Stegostoma tigrinum: one gene and its partners. The protein of the gene in region 1 binds, or shares a complex with, the protein of each later gene. Links are inferred from orthologs where the notes say so. Each region holds a gene or a part of one and is shown in the gene's direction. Other genes may lie near its edges. The genes, in order: gtf2f2a, polr2h, gtf2h5 and gtf2a1.

What was found.
Region 2: gtf2f2a (region 1) and polr2h share a complex: the UniProt entries of both Homo sapiens proteins name them as parts of the TBP-based Pol II pre-initiation complex. The link is inferred for Stegostoma tigrinum from reciprocal best matches to the Homo sapiens genes GTF2F2 and POLR2H.
Region 3: gtf2f2a (region 1) and gtf2h5 share a complex: the UniProt entries of both Homo sapiens proteins name them as parts of the TBP-based Pol II pre-initiation complex. The link is inferred for Stegostoma tigrinum from reciprocal best matches to the Homo sapiens genes GTF2F2 and GTF2H5.
Region 4: gtf2f2a (region 1) and gtf2a1 share a complex: the UniProt entries of both Homo sapiens proteins name them as parts of the TBP-based Pol II pre-initiation complex. The link is inferred for Stegostoma tigrinum from reciprocal best matches to the Homo sapiens genes GTF2F2 and GTF2A1.

Annotation. Positions count from the first base shown.
Region 1 is NC_081365.1:74,518,651-74,526,199, reverse strand, and holds the start of gtf2f2a (general transcription factor IIF subunit 2), read left to right. Parts: upstream 1-4,533; coding exon 4,534-4,590; intron 4,591-6,483; coding exon 6,484-6,557; intron 6,558-6,670; coding exon 6,671-6,689; intron 6,690-7,549. UniProt on the Homo sapiens protein: TFIIF is a general transcription initiation factor that binds to RNA polymerase II and helps to recruit it to the initiation complex in collaboration with TFIIB.
Region 2 is NC_081367.1:41,069,219-41,076,278, reverse strand, and holds the start of polr2h (DNA-directed RNA polymerases I, II, and III subunit RPABC3), read left to right. Parts: upstream 1-4,039; 5' UTR 4,040-4,147; coding exon 4,148-4,220; intron 4,221-6,867; coding exon 6,868-6,951; intron 6,952-7,060. UniProt on the Homo sapiens protein: DNA-dependent RNA polymerase catalyzes the transcription of DNA into RNA using the four ribonucleoside triphosphates as substrates.
Region 3 is NC_081362.1:31,606,055-31,612,896, forward strand, and holds the start of gtf2h5 (general transcription factor IIH subunit 5), read left to right. Parts: upstream 1-3,827; 5' UTR 3,828-3,989; intron 3,990-4,151; 5' UTR 4,152-4,211; intron 4,212-6,842. UniProt on the Homo sapiens protein: Component of the general transcription and DNA repair factor IIH (TFIIH) core complex, which is involved in general and transcription-coupled nucleotide excision repair (NER) of damaged DNA and, when complexed to CAK, in RNA transcription by RNA polymerase II.
Region 4 is NC_081363.1:9,877,331-9,885,124, forward strand, and holds the start of gtf2a1 (transcription initiation factor IIA subunit 1), read left to right. Parts: upstream 1-4,790; 5' UTR 4,791-4,974; coding exon 4,975-5,004; intron 5,005-5,624; exon of another isoform or gene 5,625-5,641; coding exon of another isoform or gene 5,642-5,644; intron 5,645-7,794. UniProt on the Homo sapiens protein: TFIIA is a component of the transcription machinery of RNA polymerase II and plays an important role in transcriptional activation. TFIIA in a complex with TBP mediates transcriptional activity.

The DNA of each region.
Region 1 (7,549 bases):
GGTGCCTGGCTCACATCCCTCCATGGATTTCTTATTCATGTATTTATCCAAATGCCTTTTAAATGTTGTAACTACCCGTATCTACCACTTCCTCTGGAAGTTAATTCCACATAGGAACCACTCTCTGTGTAAACAAAATGTTGGCCCTCATGTCCTTTTTAATCCTTTCTCCTCTTACCTTAAAAATATGCCCCCTAGCCTTGAAATCCCCCACCCTGGGGAAAAGACATCTCCCATTCACCTTATCTATACCTCATATGATTTTATAAACCTTCATAGGGTCACCCCTCAGCCTTCTACACTCCAGTGGAAAAAGTCCAGTGAATGGGAGGTGTCTTTTCCCCAGGGTGGGGGATTACAAGGCTAGTGGGCATATTTTTAAGGTGAGAGGAGAAAGGTTTAAAAAGGACATGAGGGCCAACATTTTGTTTACACAGAGAGTGGTTCCTATGTGGAATGAACTTCCAGAGGAAGTGGTAGATATGGGTACAGTTACAACCTTTAAAAGACGTTTGGATAAATACGTGAGCCTCTCCCCAAAACTTAAACCCTCCATTCCTGGTAACATGCTGGTAAATCTTTTCTGAACCCTTTCCAGCTTAATAATATCTTTCCTATAACAAGGCGACCAGAACTGGACACAGAACTCCAGAAGAGACCTCACCAATGTGCTGTACGACCTCAGCATGACGTTCCTAACTCCTATACTCAGAAGTGACAAGTACTGGTGCCTGCAGAGAGAGAGAAGTGGATGTACAGCAGGCAAGAGAAGTGGGTGATAGGAATGGAGGAGTTTAGAGCTAGGGGGAACCAAAGGTTATGGAAGATTTTAGAAATGAGCATTTAAAATCTAAAGCATTGTGACCAGTAGCCAATGTAGGTGAGTAGAGATAGTGAGTAGAACTTGGTGTGACATTAAGGTTGTCCTGAATGATGCCCCAGTTGAACGTTCTGGAGGAGACCCTGGGAGAGAGAGTTCCAGATAACTGTAAGTCTCTTACACACTCTGTTTATCCTGTCCCTTGCCAAACAAATATTAGTTTTACAATTTAAGAAATATGGTACCTGTGATGAGAATATAGAAGATATTGCGATTAAGTTTGAGGATGACACCAAAATTAATGGCTTAGTGGGCGGTAAGGAAGGGTATCTAAGATTACCAAGAGATCTTGATTGATTGGGTCAGTGGGCTGAGAGGTGGCAGGTGGAGTTTAATTCGGATAAATGTGAGGTGTTGCCTTTTTAGTAAAACAAAAAAGAGCAGGACTTATACTATTAAAAGTAGCCCCTTGGGAAGTGTTGTCGAATAGAGAGACCTAGAGGTTCAGGTTGAATTTGGCATCACAGGTAGACTGGATGCTAAAGAAGGCATTTGGCACGCTTGCCTTCGTGGTTAGATCTTTGAGTATAGGATTTGGGGCGTCATTTTGTGATTGTATGGGATGTTGGAGAGGCCTTTTTCTGGAGTACAGTTCTGGTCACCCTGCTTCAGGAAGGATATTAAATTGGAGAGTGTTCAGAAAAAAAAGTACCAGGATGTTGGTGGGAATGGAGGGTTTGAGTTATAAAAATAGGCTGGGACTTTTTTTCTCTGGAGTGTAGGTGGCTGAGAGGCGACCTTAGAGGTTTATAAAATAATGAGGGGCATACATAAGGTGAATAGCAAAATTCCTTGCCCTAGGAGTTGAAAACTAAGAGGCGTATTCTTAAGGTGAGAGGAGAAAAATTTAAAAAGGGCATGAGGGGCATTTGTTTTTCTTATACAGAGTGATTTTTGGAGGATGTAAGTCAAAGAGGAGAACTTTGCGGCTCATTGAGGCTGGAGGGAAAAATTGAGAAAGAAGTGCCATATGGGCTGCAGTAGAGAAAGAGGCAGGTAATTCAATTTGAGGTTTACTCAGCTCTGACCAGGATGCCATAGTTGCAAACAATCATATCAGCGTGAAGCAGCGCCGGCATGGAGACGTCTCTCTTGTTGATGAGGGTACAGAAAGGTGCTGCATAATTATTGTTGCTGTGCATGCTCTTACCAGTCACACTTGGTAACCTCCTTTCTCATTTCTGAGTCACACTTCATCTTCACTAGCTCCAATTTTGCATTCATAACAGGTATGCACTGTACCAATCAACCAGTATGTAGAGCAGGAATAAAATTCAGTCTGTTCAGAAGATCTGTAAATGCAAAGCAGTAATCAAAAAAAAACCAGGGAAAGTAAACAAGTCAAGTTGCTCAAAGTACTTGTTGAGTACTTTCCAAGTGATTAGAAAGTAAGATAGGAATTTAATTTGCATGTTCTTCTACCCAACTAAATTTCCACATTGATTCTATCAGTTGTTTAATTTTAATCACAGAAGGGGGCAGATGGATAATTAGAAAATCTGTGGTTCTATTCATGTTAAGAACTCAAAAATTAGGACGTTGTATTATATTTTTGACCTCTGTAATATTTTCCTTGTACAAAACAATTGAAAAACTGGGTGAGGAATTTGAAGTTCCTTGAGTTGAAGGTCTGCATGAAAGATGCAACTTTTTTTTCTGAATCTAATTCAGGAATAAACAGACGGGAATAGAACGGCATTAACATTCTTGTGCACATAGTATGTTTTCATGCAACTGCAGTTGTTACAGGAAATACTTATTTTCCAGGACCCAATTTAAAAACACTTGGACTTGCTTCATTTTCATTGGAAACTTTGGGCATTCCTTTCACAAATATCCACCGACCTTTCACTGCCACTCCCCTGTGTCCGCATTGGAAAGAATGTAAAGCGCGATTTGTTTTTAATGTAAAGAAGATGCATATATATGATTATTCACATATGCTGCCATGTGTTTTAAAAACATAGAGAATAGGAGCAGGCCATTCAGCCCTTTGAGCCTGCTGCGCTATTCAATAGAATCATGACTGATTATCCAACTCCATACCCTGTAACCGCTTTCTCCCCATATCCCTTGATAGCCCTTTAGCAAAAAGAACCATATCTGACTCATTCCCGAAAACATTCAGTATTTTGGCTTTCACCAGTTTTTGTGGCAGTGAATTCTACAGGTTCACCACTCTCTGAATAAAGAAATTTTCCTTCATCACAGTCCTAAATGGCCTATCCTGAATCTTTAAACTGTGACCTCACTGGTCATTGGGAACATCCTTCTTGCATTTACCCTGTATATTCCTCTTGGAATGTTATAGGTTTCTTTGAGATGCCCCTCATTCTTCAAACTGCTAGTGCTTGTAAACCTGACCAATCCAGTCTCTCTTAATGCATCAGTCCTGCCATCCCAGGAATAGGCTCATAAACTTGCATTGCACCCCCTCCAAAGCCAGAGACCCAAACTCCACAAAATGATCCCGGTGTGGTCTCTCCATATAGAATCGTAACAGGACATCCCTGCTCCTGTACTCAAACCCTGTCACTATGAAGGCCAACATACTATGTGCTGCCGTCACTGTTTGCATGCTTTCCTTCAGCAGTTAGTGCACTAGGACACTGAGGTCTCAACATAACTTCGTGTTTCCCAACCTATCACCATTAAGATAATAATCTGCGGCCTTGTTTTTGTTTATCAAAATGTTACCCTCGCTTTTTCCACATTATACTTCACCTGCCTTGAATTTGCCCATTCACTCCACTTGTCCAAATCACACTGAAGCATCTCTGTGTTGTCCTCACAGCTCGCCCTCCCACCTGTCCTGTGTGATCTACAAACTTGGAGATATTACATTTAGTTCCCTTCTCTAAAGTATTAATATATGTTGGGAATAGCTGGGGCCCAAGCACTGACTGTTGCAGCACCTCCCTACTTACTGCCTGCTTTTTGGGTAAAACACCCATTTATTCTGACTGTTTCCTGCCAAACAGTTCTCCATTCCCATGTCAGTATGGCTCAGTGGCTAGCACTGCAGCCTCATAGCGCCAGGGACCTGGGTTCAATTCCAGCCTTGGGCAACTGTCTGTGTGGAGTTTGTACATTCTCCCCGTGTCTGCATGGGTTTCCTCCGGGTGCTCCGGTTTCCTCCCACAATCCAAAGATGTGCAGGCTAGGTGGATCGGTGATGCTAAATTGCCCATAGTGTTCAGGGGTGTGTGGGTTGTAGGAGAATGGGTCTGGGTGGGATGCTTCAAGGGGCGGTATGGACTTGTTGGGCTGAAGGGCCTGTTTCCGCACTGTAGGGAATCTTTTCTAATCTAAACTACCCTTAATCCCTCGCACTTTCATTTTGCATGCTAATCTCTTAGGTACATCTATTGAAAGCCTTCTGAAAGTCCAAGTAAGCCCATCCACACTCTTCCCCTTAGCAACTGATTTTCTTTTCATAATTCATGCTGACTCTGCCCAATCTGGCCTCTGTTTTCCAGTTGCTCTGCTCTAAATCTTAGAAGGATAACAGTATTTTCCCCACTACCAATATTTAGCCTAATGGCCTATAATTCTCTGTTTTCTCTCAATCGCCTTTTTAAACTAACAGGGTCACAGTTAACTACCTTCTAACATATAGAAACTGTTCCACAGAGTCTAAACAATCTTGAAAGATGACCATCAATGCACCCACTATTCCCAGGACCACTTCATTAAGTACTGTGTGGGATGTAAATTATCAGGCCTTGGGGATTTATCTGCCTTTAATCCTATCAATTTCCCCAACACGATTTCCCTACTAAAACTAGTTTTGTTCAGTTGCTCCCTTTGACTAAAGTTTCCCAACGTTTTTGGGATATTATCTGTGCCCATCTTTGTGAGATCAGAACTATATGTATTTAACTGGTCTGCCATCTCTTTGTTTCCCATTATAAATTATCCTGTTTCTGACCGTAAGGGGTACATTTGGCTTCCCACCTCCTTTCCTCTTCATGCACCTATAGAAGCTTTTATATTTAGTTTGCATGTTCCCCACAAGCTTACTCTCAAACCCCATTCTCCCCCTTAATCAATCCCTCTATCCATCTTTGCTGAAATCTAAACTTCCCCCCAATCCACGCATCTACTTTTTTGATTAATTTGTATGCCCCTTCTTTGGATCTAATGCTATCCCTAATTTCGCTTATTAGCCATGGTTGAGCCACATTTCCCATTTTATTTTTGTCCCGGACAGGAGTGTACAGTTGTGACAGTTCACCCATGTGCTGTTTTAATATTTGCCATTGCTTATCCACCATCATCCCTTTAAGTAACATTCCTTGATTTATCATAGCCAGTTCGCACCTCATACCACCCTAACCTCATTTGGATTCAGGATCCGAATCTGAGTCACCTACTACACCTTCCATCTAAGTAAAGAATTCTATATAACATTATGATCATACTTCCTCAAAGGGCCTCACATAGCTAGGTTGCCAATCATTCCTGTCTCCTTTACTCAAGTATTCACTGTCTATACCTAAAATACAAATACTCTTTTCTCCGTCCTTGTGAAAATATCTCTCGGGTTTCTTTTGAGTTGGCCCAGTTTGGTAATCCCATTCACCTTCTCTGTCTTCAAAGGCAGACCCTTGCTGAAATACCATTGAAAGCAGGAACCCCATGACAATACTGCAATAACTTAGCACTCCAATTTCCTCTTCTCCTGAGTGTTGGTGAGTCAGCAACGCAACCTGTATGCTGCTGAGCTATGGAGCCACTGTTTTGGGTCTGCCACATCTTAGGGTAGTTTAACAGATGTGTTAAAACTTAGGATATCCCTCTTTCATTGCTAACTGTTAGAATCCCTGTCTCTTCATTACTCACCTCCTTTTGTAAAACACTGTTCAAAGCAGAGTATGACAGGCCTTGTTGGTATATTCTAAAATCTTTTGAACAGTTCATATCCATCTTATTTGTACAGCATTAATTTATAGAACTCACGCTTGATGCACTAAATGTTATTTAACTGATTAGTTATGAAGTGTTTTTCATACAGTGATTATAATTGAAAAACCTGGTCGTTAGCTAGTTGCTTTATTGAGAGTTTGTATTATCAAAAATGTTAATTCAAATATTTTAAATTCTTATGACTGTTGGGACACAGTCTGGACAGATTTTATAATCCAGAAAAATCCATAATATGTTATGTGTAGATGTCAGACATCAATTTCTTTGAGGTCCTAAAGTGAATCTCTGCACAAAGAATCACTGGGGGTATATTACCCCTGTTCATCATGTCCTTTAAAATAATAAAATATGATTTTTTTGTTTACCAAAGTGCTCCTCTTTGCAATCTGAAATAGCTCCATATGCAGCGTCTGGTCAGTTTTTGAAGTTTGACTTCCTGTACTGACACATTTTTATTTTCTCTTTTGTGCAGCCCAGCTTTCCCACTCTCCCTTGTGCTCACTTTTTCACCTGCACTGGGCTCTGCAGGAGAATCTGATTCCCTACTTTGAGCTATCACTCCTCAGAAAAAATTAACAAAAATGATAATGCTGGCTATTACATAAGCAAACTGTGTTTTATTTTTGGCCTTCATGCTTACCGTAAATAACTGTTTGTATTACACATGTCTGTAGGTCCCCAAATACCTTTCTCAGCAATGGGCTAAAGCAACAGGAAGAGGTGAAGTCGGAAAAATAAGGATAGCCAAGTAAGTGACCTTTATTCTGTCACCAGAGTAGCTGTCAGAGGCTGACAAATGTGGTTTTTAAATGGTAAAGTGGTGAGCATGAAACTAATCTGCTTCCTCTTTCTATTTAACAGGAATCAAGGAAAAACTGAGGTAAGAGAATGCAAGGAAGGAAATACAATTGAAAGGTATTTTTGCCAGCTATCTCCTATCTGTCACCCCCAGATTTGTGTACTGTTCAAAAACAGCAGATTTATCTCTTACACCTGGTGGAGTGGCATGATGGGATAAACCCAGGAGTGTCCTGCACAGCCTGAATAGCCGTTCTATTTAAGAACAAACTCCTGTAATGTTTGTTCAACAACTGCTGAAAGCTTATGACCTTAAAACTTAACCTGGATTGTAAAGTATTGTTCTTTGCATTTTATGCCTCAGCCCTTTCACAACACTTGACACCTATCTTGTCATGAGTAATGCTATGGGATTAGCATCTGCTGGTATATACTGTAGATGGCTTGATTAAGTGTTTCTGGTACAAATGAGCATCATTATGACTCATTGTGATCATCATGAATGATATTGGAAATATTAATAGTAGATCTTTGCATTACTATCTAAATGTCAGATCTTGAGAGGAGATCGTTTCTTACTAATTGCTGAACGTTTTAGAAAAAATTGTTCCTGACAGTTTTATTTGCAGGCTTAAATGGAATGTAAAGCTAAATGTAGAATTTGCTTCCTGCATTATATTGTTGTTTGATGTTCTGACATCAGATTGAGAAGATTTCCTTTTCAGATTAAACTGACTGGGTTTTTCTTTTTCTTTTGAAAATAAGACTTATAGGTGACCTCATTAAGGTCTTCAGAATGAGTGGGTTAGACAGGATACGTGTGAAGAGGATGTGTAACACTTATGGGAGAGTGTGAAATAGGGGGCTACAAATACAAAATAGTATCTAAAGGGTTTACTGGAGACATGAAATATCTTGAACTTTGAGGTTATAGCGGTTAGA
Region 2 (7,060 bases), on another chromosome or scaffold:
GACAAATAAGAGGGCAAATTATTATTTAATTGGGAAGCACATCCAAAGTGCATCAGTGCAGCGGCATCTGAGTGTGCTTCTGCATGAATCACAGAAAGTGGGTATGCAGGTGCAGCATATAACAAGAAAAGCAAATGGAATCCCAGCATTTGCTGCAGGAGGACTAGATTATAAAAGTAAAGAAGTGCTGTTACAATTATATGAGGTGTTAGTGAGAACACATTTGGAGTGTTGTGTCCAGCTTTGGTCTTCTTGCTCAAGAAAGAATGTAGTGGCACTGGAGACAGTTCAGAAGAGGTTCACCAAGTTGACTCCAGGGATGAAAGGGCTGTCATACAAGGAGTGGTTGAATAGCTGCGGCTTCTTCTCACTGGAGTTCAAAAGAATGAGGTGGGATTTGACTGAGGTATATAAAATGCTAAAGCGGACTAATAAGGTGGACGTTGGATGTATGTTCCTTCTTGTGGGACAGTCTCGAACAATAGGTCATAGATATAGCATGGGAGCAGGTAAGTTCAAAATTGAGATGGGGGAAACTACTTCTCTCATAGGGTTGTGATTCTGTGAAACTCATTGCTCCAGATTGCAGTGAAGGCAGAATCAATTAACAAATTCAAGAAAAAAATAGTACTGTTTGTGATGAAAAGCGGGAGAAAGGGAACTGTGAAGCAGGCAGGAAAGCGGCATTGAGACCAGGATAAGATCAGCCATGATCATTTTAAATGGTGGAGCAGGCCTGAAGGGCTGAATTGCCTACTCATACTCCTAACTCCTATGTTCCCCTCTCTGATGCTGAATGAACTGTGCTTAGCAAGGGACGTAACCAGCTTAATGAATTTCAGGCACAACATGGTGCTAAACTCTTCTTTTGTTGTCTTTGTCTCTGTGCCCATGACCCTGGACAGGAATCCTCTCCCAGCCACAAAGGCTGTTTCCCCTATCTCCAATGCATCCCCTCCACCTGGACTCCTCTGTCTGGTCTTTTGCAAGCTCTTCATTTCTTCATTGAGAACTGCTGGTGTGACACTGGCCACCTTAATTTCTCTAATCCCTTCACCCACTCACATCTATCTCCCTCTGAACTTGCTGAACTCCGTTCTCTCAGGTCTTGTTATCAAAACTATCAATAACGGTTGAGTGGCTGTCATCTGCCATGCTAACTAGTACCTGGCAGAGTGCCAACTCTCAGACACTTCCTCCTATCTCCCCCTGGATCATGACCTGACATTGATCATTGAACATCGGGCTGTAGTCTCCAGGACTATCACTGACCTCATCTCCTTCAGAGATCTCTCCTTCACAGCTCCCAATTCATAGGCCCCCAGCCACGTATAACCCGCTTTTCAAAATCCACAATCAGGACTGCCGAGGCAGGCCCATCATTTTAGCCTGTTCTTACTCCACTGAACTTATTTCTTCTTATTTTGACTCTATTTTTACCCTTCCTTGTTAAGTGTCTTTCAACTTCCATTCATGATTCCTCTGATGCTTTATGTTGGTTCTATAATGATGGTCCTAGCCACCTCTTCTTCACCATGGGCATTAAAGGCCTTAGCAAAGCCATCCCCCATCAGGATGGTCTGAAGGCTCTCCATTTTCTCCCTTGAAAAGAAGCTAATACCATCATACTTCACCTGGCTGAGCTTGTTCTCACTTTGAACAACGTTTCCTTTAACTCATCTGATTTACTGCAAGTCAAAGGTGAAGCTCATTGATACTTGCACGGGCCTCGGATTTGGCCATCTCTCTAATGTAGTGTTTGGAATCATTCCTTTTTCCAGTTGTACTCAGGCTCCCACTCACAATTCTATCTCTGATGTATTGATGATGCCTTTGGTGTTGCTTCCTGCTCTTGTCCAGAATTAGGACAATTCATCAGTTTTATTTATAGTTCTGAAGAAGAGGCATAGCCAGGCTCAAAATACTAACTCTGCTTCTGCCCACAGATGCTGATAGTCCAGCTGAGTTTCTCCTGCATTTTCTGTGTTTATTTCAGATTTCCTTAATCCACAGTATTTTACTTTTATTGTTACTTTGTTAAGGCTGATGCAAGAGAAATACCTCTTGCAGTATCCCACAAAGACAGGATGTTTTTCTTGCTGTAGGAGAGACAGAGCATGGGTTGGCACTGATGCCTGGAAACGTAGTAGCAGCTGCATCTTGGCTGACACCAAGCACCCTTGTGTTGCATTTTGGGTCCGCTGGCACAATTCTCAGCCTGATAACTGGTAGAATGACATTAACAAGATTGTACAACACCTCAGAATCAGACTCGGGACAGGTTAGAAGCTACCAAATTTTGTAACCTAAGAGAGCCTTCTGAGCAAAAACCTTGGCGTTCATCAAGGTAAAATGCTGAAAGTTTGCTGACTGCCTCCTATTGGAGGAACTATTCAAGTGCTGCATTGACTCTCAAAGTTCCAGCATTAACCATTAACTGGATGTGAGTTTGCTCGCTGAGCTGGAAGGTTAGTTTTCAGACGTTTCGTCACCATTCTAGGTAACATCATCAGTGAGCCTCCGACGAAGCGCTGGTGTTATGTCCCGCTTTCTATTTATCTGGTTAGGTTTCCTTGGGTTGGGATTAAATCTACCATCCCCTGAGAAAAAGAACAGGAAATGACATCACCAACCCAAGGAAACCTAACCAGATAAATAGAAAGCGGGACATAACACCAGCGCTTCGTCGGAGGCTCACTGATGATGTTACCTAGAATGGTGACGAAACGTCTGAAAACTAACCTTCCAGCTCAGCGAGCAAACTCACATCCAGAACCTCAACCTGAGCTACAAATCTTCTCAAAACTCGTTAACCATTAACTATATGAAGTTGGTACTAAGCATTATAGCAGAGTTGGAGACAATTCCCACAAAAACCTGTAATCAAGCACTTTCATACTCCAAAAACTTTGCTTGAGGCTTTCAACTTTCATATAGTTGCCACCTCTTCAACTGTCAATGACACCTTTCACCACAGTCTCTAGGAGAAGTGGTGTATTTTCCACTTGCTCAGAACTTCCTCAATTCTTAGATATGGATTTCAGTGCTGGAGCTTTCACTAAGCTTTCAGTTGGTAATCACTTATCCCAGTGGAATGTGTCTGTACTGACACCCAAAACAGGAAAGGCAAGCTCTGATTCTGTTTAGGCAAAGCCTGAAGCTGGACAGCTGAAATTTTTCACCAGGAAAGACTTGAGGAGCAATGGCAACAGTTTTTCCACTGACTCTTCAATTTGACAGCTCAATGTGGTGAAGCTGGCAAGGAAACCAGTTATATTCATCATCTTATTACTCCATAGGATGTGAAGAATGCTGTCAAGGCCAGCATTTATGGCCTGGCTATTTGTCTGAGAGCAGTCTGTGTGTCGTCAGCACACCCACAGTACAGAAGTTCTTGGATATTGTCCCAGCCACAGTGAAGAAACATGACATATTTCCTCGTTCGGATGGCGTGACTTGGAAGGGAAATTGTAGATTGTGATGTTCTCATATGTGCCTGTTGACTTTGTCCTGCTGGGTCACAGGGAGAAGTTTTGGTCCAAAAAAACTTGGCAAGATGCAGCAGTACATCTTGTAGACGGCATATACTGCTTTTATTGCGTGTTGGTGGAATGAGTGAATGTTGCAGGCGGTGGACAAATGTGGGTGGATGCTGCTTCCAGGAAGAATGCTGAGCCCAGCCTTGGTTACTAGCAAGTGTGGACTTGGTCTTGAAGGCCGCACGAAGAGACAGCCCGTTAATGCTATTTCTGAATCCATAGCTGGCTAACAGACCCAGAGAAGTCCCAAACAATTTATAAGTTTCAGATTTACAGTGCCTGTCGTATTTTTCATATGTTTCCATCAACGTTTAAGAAACTGTTCAAAATATAAAGACCTAAAAGAACTAAGCTTGTTTATTTACGTTTAGGAGAAAGAACCTTTCAGTAAACCCCATGTACTGAAACACAAAGCAATGCCTTGATTAAAGATGGCGGAACTGCGGTCATATACTCACATAGAGCTGCTGCCAATCTACTGGGAGGCAGGGAAGGTCTGCCAGTATCCCGGCATACTCCGAGAGATTTGTCGTGGCCTGTTTGGCAGTAGTTTGAAATTCTCTTGCTTGTGTTTGCTAGAAGTTAACAGTAATTTTATTTGTACAAGGATGGCAGGAATTTTATTTGAGGATATCTTTGATGTGAAGGATATTGACCCGGAAGGTGTAAAGTTTGACAGAGGTAAGGGAAAGAGATGAGACCTGCTGCCTTTGCTTCCTGGGTGTTCGAGTTCCCCAAATGAATGGGTTCAGGCAGTTCATGTCCAACATAGGGAAGGGAATAGAGTGATTCAGCTTTCGTCCTCCACTTCTAACTAGCATTTTTTACAGTCTTCCAGTGCTTCGTTTAATACTAGTATCTAGTTCATTGATTTACTCCTACGACCAATTCCTGTGATGTTGTATATGTGTTTTCCTGCAATTGTGGAAAGTTGCAAAAGCCCCATTTCGGACCGAGCAAACCCAAACTGCTTCCATAGCAGGCAATAATTCAGATCATATTTACACCTCCTGTTCTTATCCTTACATTTTTTTTAATTAAACCTAATTTTCTAATCAAGCTGTTCAGGGATGTTATTACACCGACCGTTTTATTCACTGTTCTACTTTCACTATTCAGTCTCAACACGCATGTGGCCCTTCCCCAACCATGAATGTGGCTGGAATTGAATTCCCACAGCCTCGAAACAAATAAAAAAAAAACTTCTTTTGCATTTGGATTCCAATAATATTCCTCATGAAGAATAGTCTTTATTAATTAGGTTGTTTCTACTTACTGTAATTCAGCTTCTGCTGTAGAAAATAGACACAGGACAGGTACCGTTCCATTAAATTGGTGGAAAAAGCTTCAAAAAACATGCTTCACTCTTTAATAATTTTAAATTAATATTGTATTGCATCAAATATGTGTCCTATCAAGCCAGTATCCAATTTTTAAACCTTTGTATTTTCTCATGGGCATTAATGACTTGTTATCACTTATATACAATTGACATTAGTACCTATTGCTTTATTTACAATATATCTTGTATGGAAAAACTTAAATTTCCATTATAATTTGCTTTTACTGATGTGCTGCTTTTAATTAGCTGTGGAGCCATAATACTCTTACATCTTTCTGCACTTCCTCAACAACAAAACAACTTCTGTTTGAAAAATAATTTTGTTTTTTAACTAGAATGCATCACTTCATGCTTTGCGATTATCTGCCTAAATTCATCTGCATTTTAAATTCTTATTCATAACTTTGTTACCTTAGAATTTGATTAGTGAGAAGGCTTCCTATTTGACTTCCCATATTCTGTCCTCTGTGAACTTGAAATCACTTCTATTGCTTGTGGCCTAACTTGCACAGAATTCTTTTTTTCATATCATTCTTGTCCTCACTGACCTACTTTGTTTGCTGTTTCAGCAATGCCTTGATTTTAAAATTCACATCCTTCTTTTCAGATCCTTAGCCTACTCATCCTGAACACTGTAATTTTAACCCTTTGAGATGCCTGCATTTCTTCATTTCTGGCCTTTTGAGCTTCCCTGATTTTAGAACATAAGACAAAGGAGTGGAAGTAAGGCCATTCGGCCCATCAAGTCCACTCCGCCATTTAAATCATGGCTGATGGGCATTTCAACTCCACTTCCCTGCACTCTCCCCATAGCCCTTGATTCCTTTTGAGGTCAAGAATTTGTCGATCTCTGCCTTGAAGGCATCCAACGTCCCGACCTCCACTGCACTCTGCGGCAATGAATTTCACAAGCCCAACACTCTCTGGCTGAAGAAGTGTCGTCTCATTTCAGTTTTAATTTTACACCCTCTAATTCTAAGGCTGTGCCCACGGGTCCTAGTCTCCCCGCCTAACGGAAACAACTTCCAAGCGTCCACCCCTTCTAAACCAAATATTATCTTGTAATTACTTCATTTGTGGTTGCGCCTTACGTTTTGCTCAAGAGTTCTCTTTCTAAATCTCCCTCTGTCTTCTAGCTCTCATTTATCCTTTAGGATGCTTCCAAAACATGACTCTGACCAATCTTTTGATTGTCCAACTTACTGTCTTCTGATGTGGCCGGTGCCAAATTTTGTTAATGCTGGTATGCTTTCCCAAATTAACAATGTTGTTTAAATGCATGTTGTTGTGTTCTACCTGCCAATTTTTCATACATTCTCCAATTTAACAACATTGCATAATATGTTCCTTTTAGTCTGTTTAATTCAAAATAGGATTTTTTTCAATGTGCAAATGTGACACTGCTTTCTCTATTCCTACATCCAGTTCATCGATAAATGCAGTGAAGATAAGTGCATCCACAGTTGTACTATGAAAAATACCACTAAGCCTTTACCAGAATGATCCAAACTTCCCCAACTCCTACAGTTCTCCTTTTGACCAATTTTTTTTTATCTTCTCCCCTCATTCAAAGCTCGGTTATCTCCTTTAATATTCTTTCACGTGACATCTTGTCAAATACTCCTTGAAGTCTTTGTACACTGCACTAAATATACTGCACCTCCATGTTTGCTTCCATGCTAAGTAATAATGCATAACAATTTTAAAATATGATGAACAAAATATACTCTTGCCTAAATTTGGCTTTTCTGCTTGAATTAATTTGTTGCCCTTTGGGCTGGTGTGAATCTTGTGTATTTTTAATGAGGGAGAATATACTATAATACAAAAAAAATTAATTGACAATAAATATGCAATCTTAACAAGATATTACTCTTACAAAAAGATAGTGTTTGATTGTGAATGATAGTTCTGATAAACTGATCAGTAAAAGCAATATTTAGATACCTTTGGGCATATAATAGAACTTCTGTGTCATTTTTACAGTTTCTCGCTTACATTGTGAAAGTGAATCCTTTAAAATGGACCTGATTCTTGATGTAAATATACAGATTTACCCTGTTGAACTTGGTAAGAATTACAATTAATACACATTTTTGTAGTTACTCTGTAATAAACTTCAGATTCAGTTACAATCCAGCTGAATCAACATTGCTATAATGCTCGAGTTTGAAAATGT
Region 3 (6,842 bases), on another chromosome or scaffold:
TAAGACCAAGTGTAACAGGCACCTTGGCACTTTAGGAATGTATGATAAACAAGGTCTTTGTCTAAAGCAGATCATCTTGGAATTCAAGTACTATCTATGTGACTTACAATGTATGAATATCTAATTAATCCTCATTGAGTTAGAATGCTATCTTGGAATCTTTCCTTGGGCAGACCGTCCCAGCACTGGATCAATGTATGATCATTGACCTCTACCTCAACAATGCCCTCGGATGAAATACATCAGGACCTGGGAACTTTGTTCTTGGCTTTATTAATAAGGGCATAGAGTACAAGAGCAGGGAGATGATGTTGAACTTGTGCAAAACACTTGTTAAACATCAGCTGGTGTATTGTATATGTTTGTGGGCACATTACAGGAATAGTGTGATTGCATTGGAGAGAGTGCAAAAATGATTTATATGAATGATCATAGAATCCCTACAGTATGGAAACAGGCCCTTCAGCCCAACAAGTCCACACCGACCCTTGGAGCATCTTACCCGACTCATCCCCCAATAACCCACCTAATCTACACTTCCATGCACACTATGGGCAATTTAGCATGGCCAGTCCACCCAGTCGGCACATTTTTGGACTGTGGGAGGAAACCAGAGCACTTGGAGGAAGCCCACACAGACACAGGGAGAATATGCAAACTCCACACAGGTAGTTGCCAAGGGTGGAATCAAACCTGAGTCCCTGGCACTGTGAGGCAGCAGTGCTAACCACTGAGTCACTGTGTCACCCCATGGATGGTTCAAAGAATGAGATATTTCAGTTCTGAGGATAGGGTGAAGAGGTTGGGACTGTTCTCGTTGGAAAGATAAGGCGGGAGAAGATTTGATAGAGGTTTGCAAAATCATGATCAGTGGGGAGAAGCTGTTCCTTCTGAAAAAAAGTAAAAAAAAATGAGTGGGCATAGATTTAAAGTGATTTAATTGAACTGGCACAGGCATGATGGGGCTGAATGGCTTCCGTATTTATCCTAGGTTGCTCCGGGAAGCGAGAAAGGAGGTTGCTAAGCCGCTGGCAAAGACCTTTGCTTCCTCACTCTCCACGGGAGTCACACCGGAAGATTGGAGGGAGGCAAATGTTGTTCCTCTTTTCAAGAAAGGGAATAGGGAAATCCCTGGAAAATACAGACCAGTCAGTCTTATGTCTATGGTCAGCAAGGTTTTGGAAAGAATTCTGAGGGATAGGATTTATGACTATTTGGAAAAGCATAGCGTGATTAAACGGAGTCAGCATGGTTTTGTGAGGGGAAGGTCATGCCTTACCAATATTATTGAGTTCTTTGAGGAAGTCACGAGACAGGTTGATGAGGGTCGAGCAATGGATGTGGTGTACATGGACTTCAGCAAGGCATTTGATAAAGTTCCCCACGGCAGGCTCATGCATAAAGTCAGGAGGTATGGGATACAGGGTGATTTGGCTGTCTGGATTCAGAATTGGTTGGCTGACAGGAGGCAGAGAGTGGTTGTAGATGGTAAGTATTCTGCCTGGAGGTCACTGCTGAGTGGTGTCCCGCAGGGCTCTGTTCTTGGGCCTCTGCTCTTTGTAGTTTTTATAAATGACTTGGATGAAGAGGTTGTGGGGTGGGTTAGTATGTTTGCTGATGACACAAAGGTTGGAGGTGCCATTGATAGTATGCCGGCGATTGCAGGCATCAGCAGGACATTGACAGAATGCAGAGCTGGGCTGAGAAATGGCAGATGGAGTTCAACCTGGATAAATGCGAAGTGATGCACTTTGGAAGGTCGAACTTAAATGCTGAATACAGGATTAAAGGCAGGATTCTCGGCAGTGTGGAGGAACAGCGAGATCTTGGTGTTCAAGTGCATAGTTCCCTCAAAGTTGCCACCCAGGTGGATAAGGTTGTTAAGAAAGCATATGGTGTTTTGGCTTTCATTAACAGGGGGATCGGGTTTAAGAGCCGTGAGGTTATGCTGCAGCTCTACAAAACCCTGGTGAGACCACACTTCGAATATTGTGTCCAGTTCTGGTTGCCCTATTATAGGAAAGATGTGGAGGCTTTGGAGAGGGTGCAAAGGAGGTTTACCAGGATGCTGCCTGGACTGGAGGGCTTGTCTTACGAGGAGAGGTTGACTGAGCTCGGACTTTTCTCTCTGGAGAGAAGGAGGAAGAGAGGCGACCTGATCGAGGTGTACAAGGTAATGAGAGGCATGGATAGAGTCGATAGCCAGAGACTTTTCCCCAGGGCAGGATTGACTGCCATGAGGGTTCATAGTTTTAAGGTGTTAGGAGGAAGGTATAGAGGAGACGTCAGAGGGAGGTTCTTCACCCAGAGAGTTGTGAGCGCATGGAATAGTTTGCCAGTGGTAGTCGTGGAAGCGGAGTCATTAGTGACATTTAAGCGACTGCTGGACATGCACATGGACAGCAGTGAATTGAAGGGAATGTAGGTAAGGTTATTTTGTTTTTGGATTAGGATTATTCCACGGCACAACATCGTGGGCCGAAGGGCCTGTACTGTGCTGTACTTTTCTATGTAACAGTGCTGTGAATTTATGAATTTGTCAGCCTGCAGCTCCATCAGTTTGTTCATTACTACTTCCCTGGTGATTGTAACTTCACCAAATTGGTCTCTTCCTTCAGTTATGATCCTAGTTGATTTTATTATTGGACAAGTCAGATCTCAGTCAGGACCCTAGCTGAGATCATATTTTTATTTGTTGTGATCCTTTAACAATAAAATATATAGCAAATTCAAATATTTTAAATACCCAGTAAAAGTATAACCCAATAAGTCCCAACATATTATTTTATAAATTGAAAAGAAATGAAACAACTACTGTGTAATACCAAACACACCACTGCTACAGGTCCCAAACATGCTTCACATAATACTCACACTACAGTCCCTGTACCAGATTTAAGTCACATATGACTTCAATTTTTCTGGAATAAGATGTAGCTATTTTCATACCTGCGTTTCACTGGACTTATTTTAAGTAACCTTGTCAAGGTTTTTATCCCAACGCTTCTGGTCTGGGACTAAAAATGACTTTTCTCTCCAATCTAATCCACAGTATCTACCATTCTCTTCTCAGGAAGATGCTCAGATCTACATTGGATTGATTCATATCAGAGGCACAGTAACACTGTATTAGTCTGAGTCAGAGTTGCACTGTACTCATAAATCTGGTTGAGCAGTAGTAGGGTGACTAGAAGTAACAGCAGCAGGACAATCCTTAAAAATTGGGACAATTACCCAGAACTTCCGACTATCCTTAACTGTAAATGTCAGGGAGAACAATTTTATCTTTATACAATTAATCTATCTTGGAGTATACTTGATCTGTCTCTCGGTTATTAATCACATATCAAGCCAACTTTGCTGACTTCACAGGTTCCATGTTTTGCGAAACGTCTTAGCTGACATGTCCTTCAGTGGAATATGAGAATCCTTTATCAGAATACTAACTCATTGCTTGCACTAACTGTCATGCCTCCAACTCTCCTTGGTGCATATTTGGGTGAATTTTAACCATCAACCCTGGAGTCGATGTGTAGCACAGAAAGGGGAGGCCACTGAAACAGTGGCTTGAGGTTCCCTAATCACACTTTTAGAAACAAACATTGAATGTACTTTTCCAGCTGCCCACGTACTGTGGAAAGATATCCTGTTACTTTGGCACACTGACCAAATCAGTCATGCGTGATACAGCATACCAGACGTGTACGTATGACAAGACAATTCAATTTGAGATAATATAACAAACCGTTTGGAGGGAAATTTGCGGACAAAAAATAAACACATTTCCACAAGGAGGCTGGGACTTAAACGACTCCGACTCCGAACTGAAACGCTATATAACCCCTCTAATCATTTCGGTGCAACTCTGACCCAATGTGGTGTCATTTTGTTCGAGGTGCCGTTAACTGATTGGTCATGTTTGAATTGCGTGTGTTATCCCAGATCGCTTAGCGCTGCGAGAGAAGAAATGGTTGTTCCGTAGAGATCAGGTTTGAGTATTGAATCTTTTCTCCCCCCCCACCTTTTAAATTGTAAAACTTATGCATATGTGTTTTCGTAATGCTAATCCTTACTTGACCATGTTAATAATGGTGTGCTGTCTCGAGAAATGTCCCGCCTCCAACTGATGTTTCTTTTATATTGTATGGTAGGTTTGAGTTTTTTTCTCGGGGGGCGTGAAGGCGCCCATCACGGATCTGGCCTGATCTACGGTAATTAGCACTTTTCCACTTCATCTTACTTGGATGACAAGAATTAGTCACGCAGCACAGAAACAGGCCTTTCGGTCCACCATGTTTGTGCTGACTAACAAACATCAAACTGTACTAACAGAAGTTGCTAGAGATAAGAGATTGCTCGAAGTTCCTTCCTCAGAGGAAGAGTCACTGGACCCGGAACGTTAACCCTGATTTTTTTTCCTTCACAGATGCTGCCAGGCCTGTTGAGATTTTCCAGCAACTTCTGTTTTTGTCACTGATTTACAGCATCTGCAGTTCTTTCGGTTTTTACCAAACCACAGTAATCCTGTTTACCTGTATTTAGTGCACTACTGTGCCCTGGCATTTTAAGTGCCACATGCTTCTTAGGTGTTGCAAGAGTATCTGCTTCTGCTGCCCCCTCAGACACCGCGTTCCTTATTTCTACAACCCTCTGGGTGAAAATGTTTTTCTTCCGATCTCTTCTAAACAACTTGTTCCTCACCTTTAATTTTAAGCGTTCTGGTCTTAGACATGTATGCTGCAGGGAAAAGATTCTTAAGATTCTATATATCTTGTCTGCCTGTGCTTCTTATAATTTTGTATACCTCAATCAGATATCTTCTCTGCTCCAAGAAAACGAAACCCAGTCTTCCCTTACAACTGAGACTTTTCATCCGAGGCAACATCCTGATGAATCTCCTCTGTACCCACTCTACTGCAATCACATCTGCCCCATTGTGTAGCAAACAACATGGTATTCTGTTTGCGGCATAACAAAGTTGTAGCAAGACTTCCTTGCTACTATATTCTATGCCCCAGCTAATGAAGGCAAACATCATGAATGCTTTCTTCATCACCGTGTCCAGCTGTGCTGACACCTTTACGGACTTGAACACCAAAGTCCTTTTGTCCCTCAGTTCACTTGATAGTAAATTTAAGTGCGACTATTGGAATGATGACTGCAGAAGTAGAGCATCAAGTTAAGTGCCAGAAAGACACTGGTGTTATGTATATGTTTTCTAATCAACCTGTTAATAGATATTAGACACCTCTGGAATAGGTGGGCCTTAAATCTAGGCTGCCTGGCTCAAAGGCAAGAACATTACCGTTGTATCAAGAAGGCAAAATGAAGCCATCGAAGGCCAAGTTGAGACTATTTGATGGGACGGTACTCCACTCAATATCCAAACAATATCCACTCATACCAGCTGAAAAAGTTTTTAAGCATGGTTTGGTAACCTTGGTTTCACTGACCAGATCCTAAAGGAAAATGTTTCGACAGGTCTTTGTCACCCTGGTAAATAATTTGAAATAGATGAACAGGCGAGACCAGCTCAGCATCTGGAGAGATCTGGCTGCTCTCAAGTCCACCTGAAAATCAAGAGAAGTTGAAAAAGGAGTAATGAATCAAGGACGAGGCAACTCAGACAGATTGACTTGCAAAGTGATAGCAGTGAAATAACCTGGAAGGACTTCAATAAAACCTTGAAGAGATCTTACTACTGCCTGCTAACCATTGAAGATATTTCGTCATAATTTGTGAAGGCAAAGATCTTTACTATTCTCCTTGTGGTGGATACTAGCAAGTGAAGTTGGATGAATTCAGAAACTCTTGTGATGTTTGAGAAGTACCTGCAATTTGGAATTTCAGCTTCTTCAGAAGATCATCGCCACACAATGAGACAGCTGTTGACTTTTCTAGAGTGGAAGTGATTGGCGTTATCTGCTGGTCTGTTGATGTGTTGAAATGACAGAGGCCGTTGCACACCACATTCTTCTCAGTGCTGGAGAGTTCACCAGATGAAATTGAATCTGGACAAGAAAAGAAAACAGTTCAAGGTGCCTAAATTCAGATATGAGATTCACGTACTGACAGCAGTGGAATTGTCCCTGATAACATTGAGAATTGTAGTAGAGGTGTTTTAATTTAAAGTTCAGTAGTACAGGACTTGAGCTTTTCTGAAAAACTTTGTCTTGCACACATTAAGATAGCTTGCAAGAAATATTAATTTGTAAGGGAGCAACTACTTTATTGTATGAGAAGTGTGCTGATTGGTACAGGTGTTGCCATGGGGAATACACCAGTTAGGTGGTGATTGACAGGTAACTCCGGTTTTGTGTAATTTATTTAAACCAGGCAGGCTGACTCTGATTCGACTGGGAAATGAAGGAGAGAATAGCTGTTGCCTGTTTAATTGCGTTGAAAAAGGTGCTGTATGTGCTCATGTTCATTCAGTCTGCAAAGTCTGTAGCACACAAGTGGCTGCGCTATGCAGAGCTGTTGGGGGAGTAAAGAAGAGGAGAGAAGAGAGAATAGTGATACAAAATTCTGTCATGAGGGAAGCAGATGTTTCTGTAGCCGGTGTGTGGTAAAGGATGTCACTGAGTGGTTCTAGGATATTCCGAAGGGGTAAAATGAACAACCAGAGAGTATGGTTCATGTCCATGTCTACGAACACAAGTTAAAAGGGTGTATGATAAGCAGAATGTAAGGAGCTAGGAGTTAAATTCAAAAACAGGGCCTCAAGGGTAGTAATTTGGGGACTACTCCCAGGGCTGCATGGCAGTATGTTTAGAAATAGGAGAGATGGTGCAGGAGGGAAGATTTTAGATTTCTGAGGCATTAGGTATGATTCTGGGGCT
Region 4 (7,794 bases), on another chromosome or scaffold:
CAACACAAATGGATAAGTTAGTCAAGAAGGCATACTGCACACTTGCCTTCATTGGTCAGTGCATTGAATATAAAAGTTGACAAGTTACGTTACAGCAGTATAAAACTTTAATTAGGCCACATTTGGAATATTGCATGCAGTTCTGGTTGCCACACTACCAGAAGGACATTGATGCTTTGGAGAGGGTGCAGAGAAGGTTTATCAGGATGTTGCCTGGTCTGGAGGGGTTTAGTTATGAGGAGAGGTTGGATAAACATGAAAGATGGAGGCTGAGGGGTAGCCTGACAGCCGGATATAAGGTATATCCCTTATAAAAGGGATAGATAGCGTGGATAGTCAGATACTTTTTCCCAGGGAGGAAAGGTCAATTACAAGAGGGCACAGGTTCAAGGTGAGAGGGGGTAAGTTTAGGGGAGCAGAGTAGGGAAAATTTTTCACACAGAGGGTGGTGGTTGCCTGGAACACACTGGCGGTGGAGGTGGTGGAAGCACTGTTTAAGATTAGCATTGTTTAAGGCATATCTTGATAGACACATGAACGGGAAGTGAACAGAGGTATAGAAAAGACTTATGGCCAATAAGAAGTGGGTCCAAATAAGGATTAGGAACTGATGCAGAGATAGTAAGAACTGCAGATGCTGGAGTCAGAAATAACAGAGTTTGGAGCTGGAGGAACACAGCAGGCCAGGCAGTTTCAGGTCAGGACCCTGCTTCAGAAATGGGGAGGGAGAAGGGAATTCAGAAATAAATAGAGAGGAGGCGTGGGGCGGGGGAAGAGGCCAGGGGTAGGCAAAATTTTGAAACTGGTAAATGGCCTAAATGTGGGTTTTACCAGTTTCAAAATTTCCCCATCCACCAAACTCGTTGCATGTCCACCCCTCCCTTCCTCCCCGCCTCCTTGACCTGACCAACCTGTCCATCTTCTCTCCCACCTGTCCGCCCCTCCCGCCTCACTGACCAATCCCCACCACTCCCTACCGGCACTCACCTATCACCATCCTACCTACCTTCCCAGCCCCACACCTCCTCTCTATTTATTTCTGAGCTTGCTTTTCCCTCCCCATTTCTGAAGAAGGATCCTGACCCAAAATGTCAACTTTTCTACTCCTCTGGTTATGCCTGGCTTGCTGTATTCCTCCAGCTCCACACTGTGTTATCTAGGAATTGATGGAGGCTCGGTGGACCGAAGGGCCTGGTCCTGTGCTATAATGTGTTGTGCTGTAGGCTGGTCCAGAAGATCAAATCACATGGAATCCATTGAGTTACCAAACTGGATACAAAATTAGCTTGGCCATAGAATACAAAGGGCAGTAATGGAGGAGTGTTTTTCTGACTGGAGGTCTGCAACCAGTAACGTTCCTCAAGAATCAGTCTGAGACCTCTGTTGTTTGTGATATAAATAAACAATGTGAATGAAAATGTCAGTGGTCTGATTATAGATTTGCAGATGACATGAAACTATTTGAGTTATGGATAGTGAGGAAGGATATCAAAGGATGCAGCAGAATATAGATCAGCTGGAAAGTTGAGCTAAGAAATGGCAGATGGAGTATAATCCCGAGGAGTACGATGTGATATATTTTCAGAGGTCAAATGAATGATAAAAGTATACAGTAAATGGTTGGACCCTTAGGTGCTTTGATATGCAGAGGGTTGTTGTGGTACAACTCCATAGTTCCTTGTCAGTGGCAACACAAGTGGATAAGGTGGTAAATAAAGCATATGGCATGTTGCCTTCATTGTTCAGGGTATTAATTATAAAAGTTGGCAAGTCATGTTGTACTTTATAAGACTTTGGTCAGGCCACATTTGGAGTACTGTGCACAGTTCTGGTTACCACAATACAGGAAGGACATGGACGCTTTGGAGAGTGTACAGAAGAGGTTTACCAGGATTGGAGTTTATGAGCTAGAAGGAGGCTGCCCAAACTTGGATTGTTTCCGCTAGAACCTCAGAGGCAACCTGATAGAAATATATAAAATTATGAGCAGTGTGGATAGAGAGAATTATTGGAATCTCTTTTCCAGCATGGAAATGTCAAATACAAGAGGACATAAGTTGAAAGTGAGAGGGATAAAGTTTAAGGGAAGTATTAAGGAAATTGCGCCTTGTAGATGGTGCTCAGGCTTTGGGGAATCAGGAGGTGAATCCTGCAATATTCCTAGTCACTGCCTGTTGTTTTAGCCACTGCACTTATATTTTAATTAATCTGATTTGACGTTAGAATTGGAATTAGGTTTACTGTAACATGTACTCAAGTTGAGGGATGTATGAATATGCATGAACAGGGATATGGAAAAGACCTACGGCCAATAAGAAATGGGTCCAAATAAGGGTTAGAAATTGATGCAGAGATAGTAAGAACTGCAAAAGTGAAAAGTATACAAATTTGCCATTTCCAGTCCATCTTAGGTACAAAAATACCTAGGTATAAAATGTTAGGTATAAACTAGAAAAATAAAGAAACAAAGTTCAGCAATACAGTTTTTCTAAAGGAGGGAGTCCATGCTGGGCATCAGCTCAAGGCCGGGAGTCCAATGCTGGGCTTCCGCGAGGCCAAGAGTCTCCTGAGTCCATGCTGGCTCAATTCTCCACCACCGATGCCATCTGAAAAATGGAGGTAAATACAGACAAAAGGAAAAAGATGAAAAGCCACGGACTTAGGAGCCATCTTGAAGGCACTGGTAATAGGTGTGAAAGAGAAGTAAAGTTGTAAATTGAGGTGTTCAGATCTACAGCAAGCTAAAACACATTAATGGGAGGTGATGGCTGAGTGGTATTATTGCTAAATAATCAATCTGGGTAACTAGGTCATGTTCTAGGGACTTGGGCTTAAAACCTGCCGTAGGCAGGTGGTGGAGGTGATAATGGGAACTGCAGATGCTGGAGAATCCAAGATAATAAAATGTGAGGCTGGATGAACACAGCAGGCCCAGCAGCATCTCAGGAGCACAAAAGCTGACGTTTCGGGCCTAGACCCTTTCTGATGAAGGTTCTAGGCCCGAAACGTCAGCTTTTGTGCTCCTGAAATGCTGCTGAGCCTGCTGTGTTCATCCAGCCTCACATTTTATTATCGTGGTAGGTGGTGGAACTTGAATTCAATGAAAATCCAGAACTAAAAATCTAATGATCTTGATTGTCACAAAAAAATACTCATCTGGTTCACTCATGTCCCTTAGGGGAGGAAATCTCCCATCCTTTCTTGGCCTGGCCTGCTGACTCCAGATCTAAAGCAATGTGGGTAAGTATGGGCACTGAAAGCTGGCCTAGCCAGCTATGTCTACATACTATGAATAAATTTTAGAAAAAACTCAGTGAGGAGAGGGGTGGAACATGATTTTTTTTGACCTCTTATCATGATCTTATTTGTTGGTGGAGCAGACTTTACGGACTGAATCTGCTCCTCTGGCAAAGGCAATGACCCATCAGTTTTACCATTTTAATTAAAAGCTTGAATTCAAAGACTAATGATGACCAGTGAAACCACTGTCAAAAAAACTATTTAGTTCACTAATGCCCTTTTAGTGAAGGAAATCTGCCATCCTTACCTGGTTTGGCCTATATGTGACTCCAGGCCCACAGCAATGTGGTTGATTCTTGACTGTTCTCTGGGGCAGAGCAGCTGGGGCTCAACAATGAATGCTGACCCACCTAGAGACGCATTCATCCCGTGTATGAAGTTTAATAAAAAGTTAATGTTTTCCTGGGGAAGGGAGTGCACAATTCAAGGTGCAAGCATGGTTTCTATAGTCTGTCTTGGTGAAAGAAATGTTCAAGAGATTTATTGATCGATTTGATTTATTGTCACATGTATTTTGTTACAAAACACAATGAAAAGAGTTGCGTAGCGTCACCACTCTCCGGCACCATCTTAAAACGCAGAAAGATGAATCATAACGTGGAATATAAAGGTGGAAAAATGAAGAAATGAAGTTCAACTTTGTAGTCCGTCTTGTTGAGTGCTTAGCCATGGGCATGTACCCTCGCCGTGCTGCCAGAACATGAATCGCCACTCTTCGATGTCATCTTGCCTCCACCAACACTGCTGCCACAATTAATCCTCACCATGTCCCATACCAGGCCAAACTCAACTCCACCACTGCCAAGAGCCTGCTCTGGGCCCAGGTCTGCCTCCACCACTGCCTCCACGAGTCTGTGCTGGACACAGATGCCATGGGCAACACAAATTTCACCTCCACCCATGGTTTAGGTGGCATGGTGGCTCAGTGGTGAGCACTGCTGCCTCACAGCTCCAGGGACAGGGGTTAAATCCCAGCACTGGGGGCCCTGTGGGGTTTGCATGTTCTCCCCATGTCTGCGTGGGTTTCCTTCAGGTGCTCTGTGCCTCGCACAATCCAAAGATGGGTAGATTAGGTGGGCTGACTTTTCCAAATTTGCCCACGGTGTCTGGGCGGGCCAGCCATGGGAAATGCAGCGACAGAGCGGGCTGAATCTGGTGGGTGGGGGAGATGGGATGCTCTTCGATGGGCCCAAAGGCCTACTTTCCGCAACCGGGGGTGGGGGGGGAAGGGGGGGTGAATTCGATGGTGGTTTGTTGTTGTGGAAATCCAGGGTTAAACATGGCAGCGGCAGGAGAGCGGGAACGGAAATACTACAACTCCCGGCATGCCCGGCGGAGGTAGCAGGACCCGGATGTGTCCGTGGGTACTCTCGCGAGATGAGGGCGGTGGGGTTTGGTTTGTTGGTTGGGTGCGGGGGCGGGGGAGCGAAGACAAGCGCTGACGCAGCGCCTCATTTGCCGGACCCTCCCTATAGCGGCAATTGAAGCTCCATTCGGCAGTATATAAGCGCTCGCTGGAAGAGGACGGACGGCTTTCCCAAGCCCGCTTCAGGCAGCACCGCCAAAAATCAATTTTAATCGCTTTTATTTTTGTTTTAAAAAAAAATCTTTTTCTTGACCAAAAAACAAACCACCTCATCTGGATATTTCATTTAAATTCTCCTCCGTATCCACATGGCGAGTTCGGCCAACTCAAACCCGGTGGTAAGATTTTTTTGTGTGTTGAGTGTGGTTGTTTTTTTAAATCCTCCGAAATAAAAGAGACTTTAAGATGGGAACCATTTTATATATTTTTAAAAAAATTATATCTATGCTCTTCATTAAAATCTGCTTTTTCCACTCCCGAGGATGAAAACAATTTTTTCTCTCTACTTTTTTATTTTAAGAAAAACCAAACGTGAAAAGTAATGTTTTGCTTTTGTTTTCTGTCTGGGGAAATTTTGAAGCAAAATTCAGCAAAGCGGAAAACTTGTTGGCATTTGAAAAGGGGGGGAAGGAACAAAAACTTCCCTTTTTTTAAAAGGAAAACAAGATTTGACTCCCTTTCTCAACATTTTTAAAAATAATTAGCGGAGCAAAGCAAGCCATATCTTGGACAAACTGACTGGATTTTTGTCAGGAGCTGTGGCTGGAGTTTTAGTTTTTACAAGCAGATTTTTTGAGGGGGGGTGGTGAGGGAGAAAACACTTCCCTCCTTTCTCTCCTGTAAAAATTTCTTTTGTCTGGACTAGTAACTACATTTTTAAGCTGAGGTGCTTTCTAAAGTGGCTTGGGAAAGAAATGGAGTGGGGGAGAAAGTGGTGGGTGAATGGTTCAATTTTTGGGTTGCACATCAAAATGAATGGTAATTTTTTTTAAATAAAAAGTTGAATTCATGAGGTGGTTTCACCTGGAAAAATCACAATTCAAGAACTGCTTTTGCTAATTGTGTGTCAAGTTTGAAACTAAGAAAAGTGCTAAGGTTTTCTTTTGGTAAGCTGTCAGGATATTACAGGCTCATGTCTGATTTAAGTTTTAGCTTTTAAAAACTTGTACTTTTGAAGGTAAATATATAACCTTTATTTTACAAAAGGAATAAAACTGAAACACCAACACACCCCTGCTGATCCCTCTAGAGAAACAGATGGAGCCTGCACTATTTGCTGATGAACCATTTTGTTTTCTGGCTGACTTTTTACAAATTTTTGTGTTGTTGGTCTGAAGGAGGCACGAGATGCTTTCCTTTCCCTGTTTCAGGGCCCCTAAGACTTTGGTTTTAGTCCTGTCCCCCTTCCTTTTGTGGCCAATCTGGTGAATCGGTCTCTCTGCTCCATAAGCTAATGTTTTGTGGAGGGTGGCCTGTTGTTTGTGCCTTCCTTCCCCTTGCTTCTGTCTTTCCTCCCCCTCCTAGATGGTCTCCTCTATTATAATCTCGGTTGCACGGTGGGGATGTGCTTGCCAGCTCTACGTCATGAGGAGGGGGGGGGGGTCCCCTTTGCATATGAGGTCAGACTGCAAGGGCTGTGCAAGAAAGCAGGGAGAGAGGGAGGCTTAACAGCAGCTGTGAGGCCCAAGGGTAAACTGCCTGCTTAAGTATGTTCCCTTGATCGGTTTTAGGCTGTGACTTATCTACCTTCTTTCTGACAAACCTTCTGCCCTCCACCCTTATCCCTGGTCCCCTCACTGTTTTTCTGTTCTGTCAGAGGCTGTGAGCTTTCCTTCAACGGTGAGCTCCTGCAGGCTTGGCTATGCTGTAGTGTTCTTTCTGAGAATGTGAATTCAGACTGCAAGCAGCATCTTTTATAGATCAGGGTGTTTTTCTTTGCATTTGTAATTCAACCAAGATGTGTGTAACTATTTTATTAAAACCACAATACTTCTGATACTGAAAATCTGAAGCAAATGCATTTGCCAATTCAGTTTTTTACTCCAGTGCAATGTTGACAACTCATTATCAGGAATGACCCTTTTTCTAAAAGTAGATGAATATTTGTAACAGTGGTTGCTGTGGTTGAATTTACATAGTCCATGATGGCAGGTAAGGGCAACCCAGTGGAATGAATTGGATAGCTCTTCCTCAAAGCACTAGTAAAGGAAAAATGGACCAAATGGCATTTCTCACTTGATTTCAGCATTACTGGTACGTGATGAAGTTCCATTTTAGAGAATATTTAGAACTCTGTCTTGGTGGGAATCATCATCTTATTTATACATTTGTGTAGCATTAAGCAAAAAGTTCTTAGCTTGTATTCATCTAAATGGTTAGACTTGTATGGTTATTTCAAAATGTCATCTTTAAATTTCTTTAAATTCTTGGCATTTTCAGAAGTCTTGCAATTTAAACAGTTCTTAATATTTGAGCAGGGAAATGTTAACTTCCCAATACAAGTGTCGGAGCTGTGAGGAAGAATAGAAGTAGATCAGTGTCTTGGCCTATTTCTACTGTTTAATTAGGCCAAGCTGAGTGGAGGCAATCTTTACTCTTTTAAAATTTTGCCCAGCAAGGATGTCAATTGACCCAGCATTCCTGACACTTTGAAGATTAGATTTCCAGTATCCTTTGTGGAAAATTTGCTTTCTGATGTTTGTTCTGACTGACATAGCTCTCATTTAAGATTATGGACTTTTCCCAGCAAACAAAATGGCTTCTCTCTACACAATTGCCTCAGTTATTTGAAATGTCTTGATTTAGCAGTTCACAACCATCTAAACATGAGACTACAAGCCAATGTTGTGAAACTTGTCATGATGTCTCTGGGTGTAGTAGGTCAATTTGTACACTTCAGAAGCAAGTTTTGAGGTCTATAATTGCATATGCTACTCCAGATAAGAACTAATCAAACTCTGTCAAACAGAAGCACTGCTTCCTCACTTTTGAATTCCACTTGCTGTTGGATAAAGGGCAACATGTGCTAACTAAGTTAGTAAGAACTGCAGATGCTGGAGGATCACAGGCCAGGCAGCATTGTAGGATCAGGAAAGCTGATATTTCTGGTTGGGACTCTTCTTCAGAAA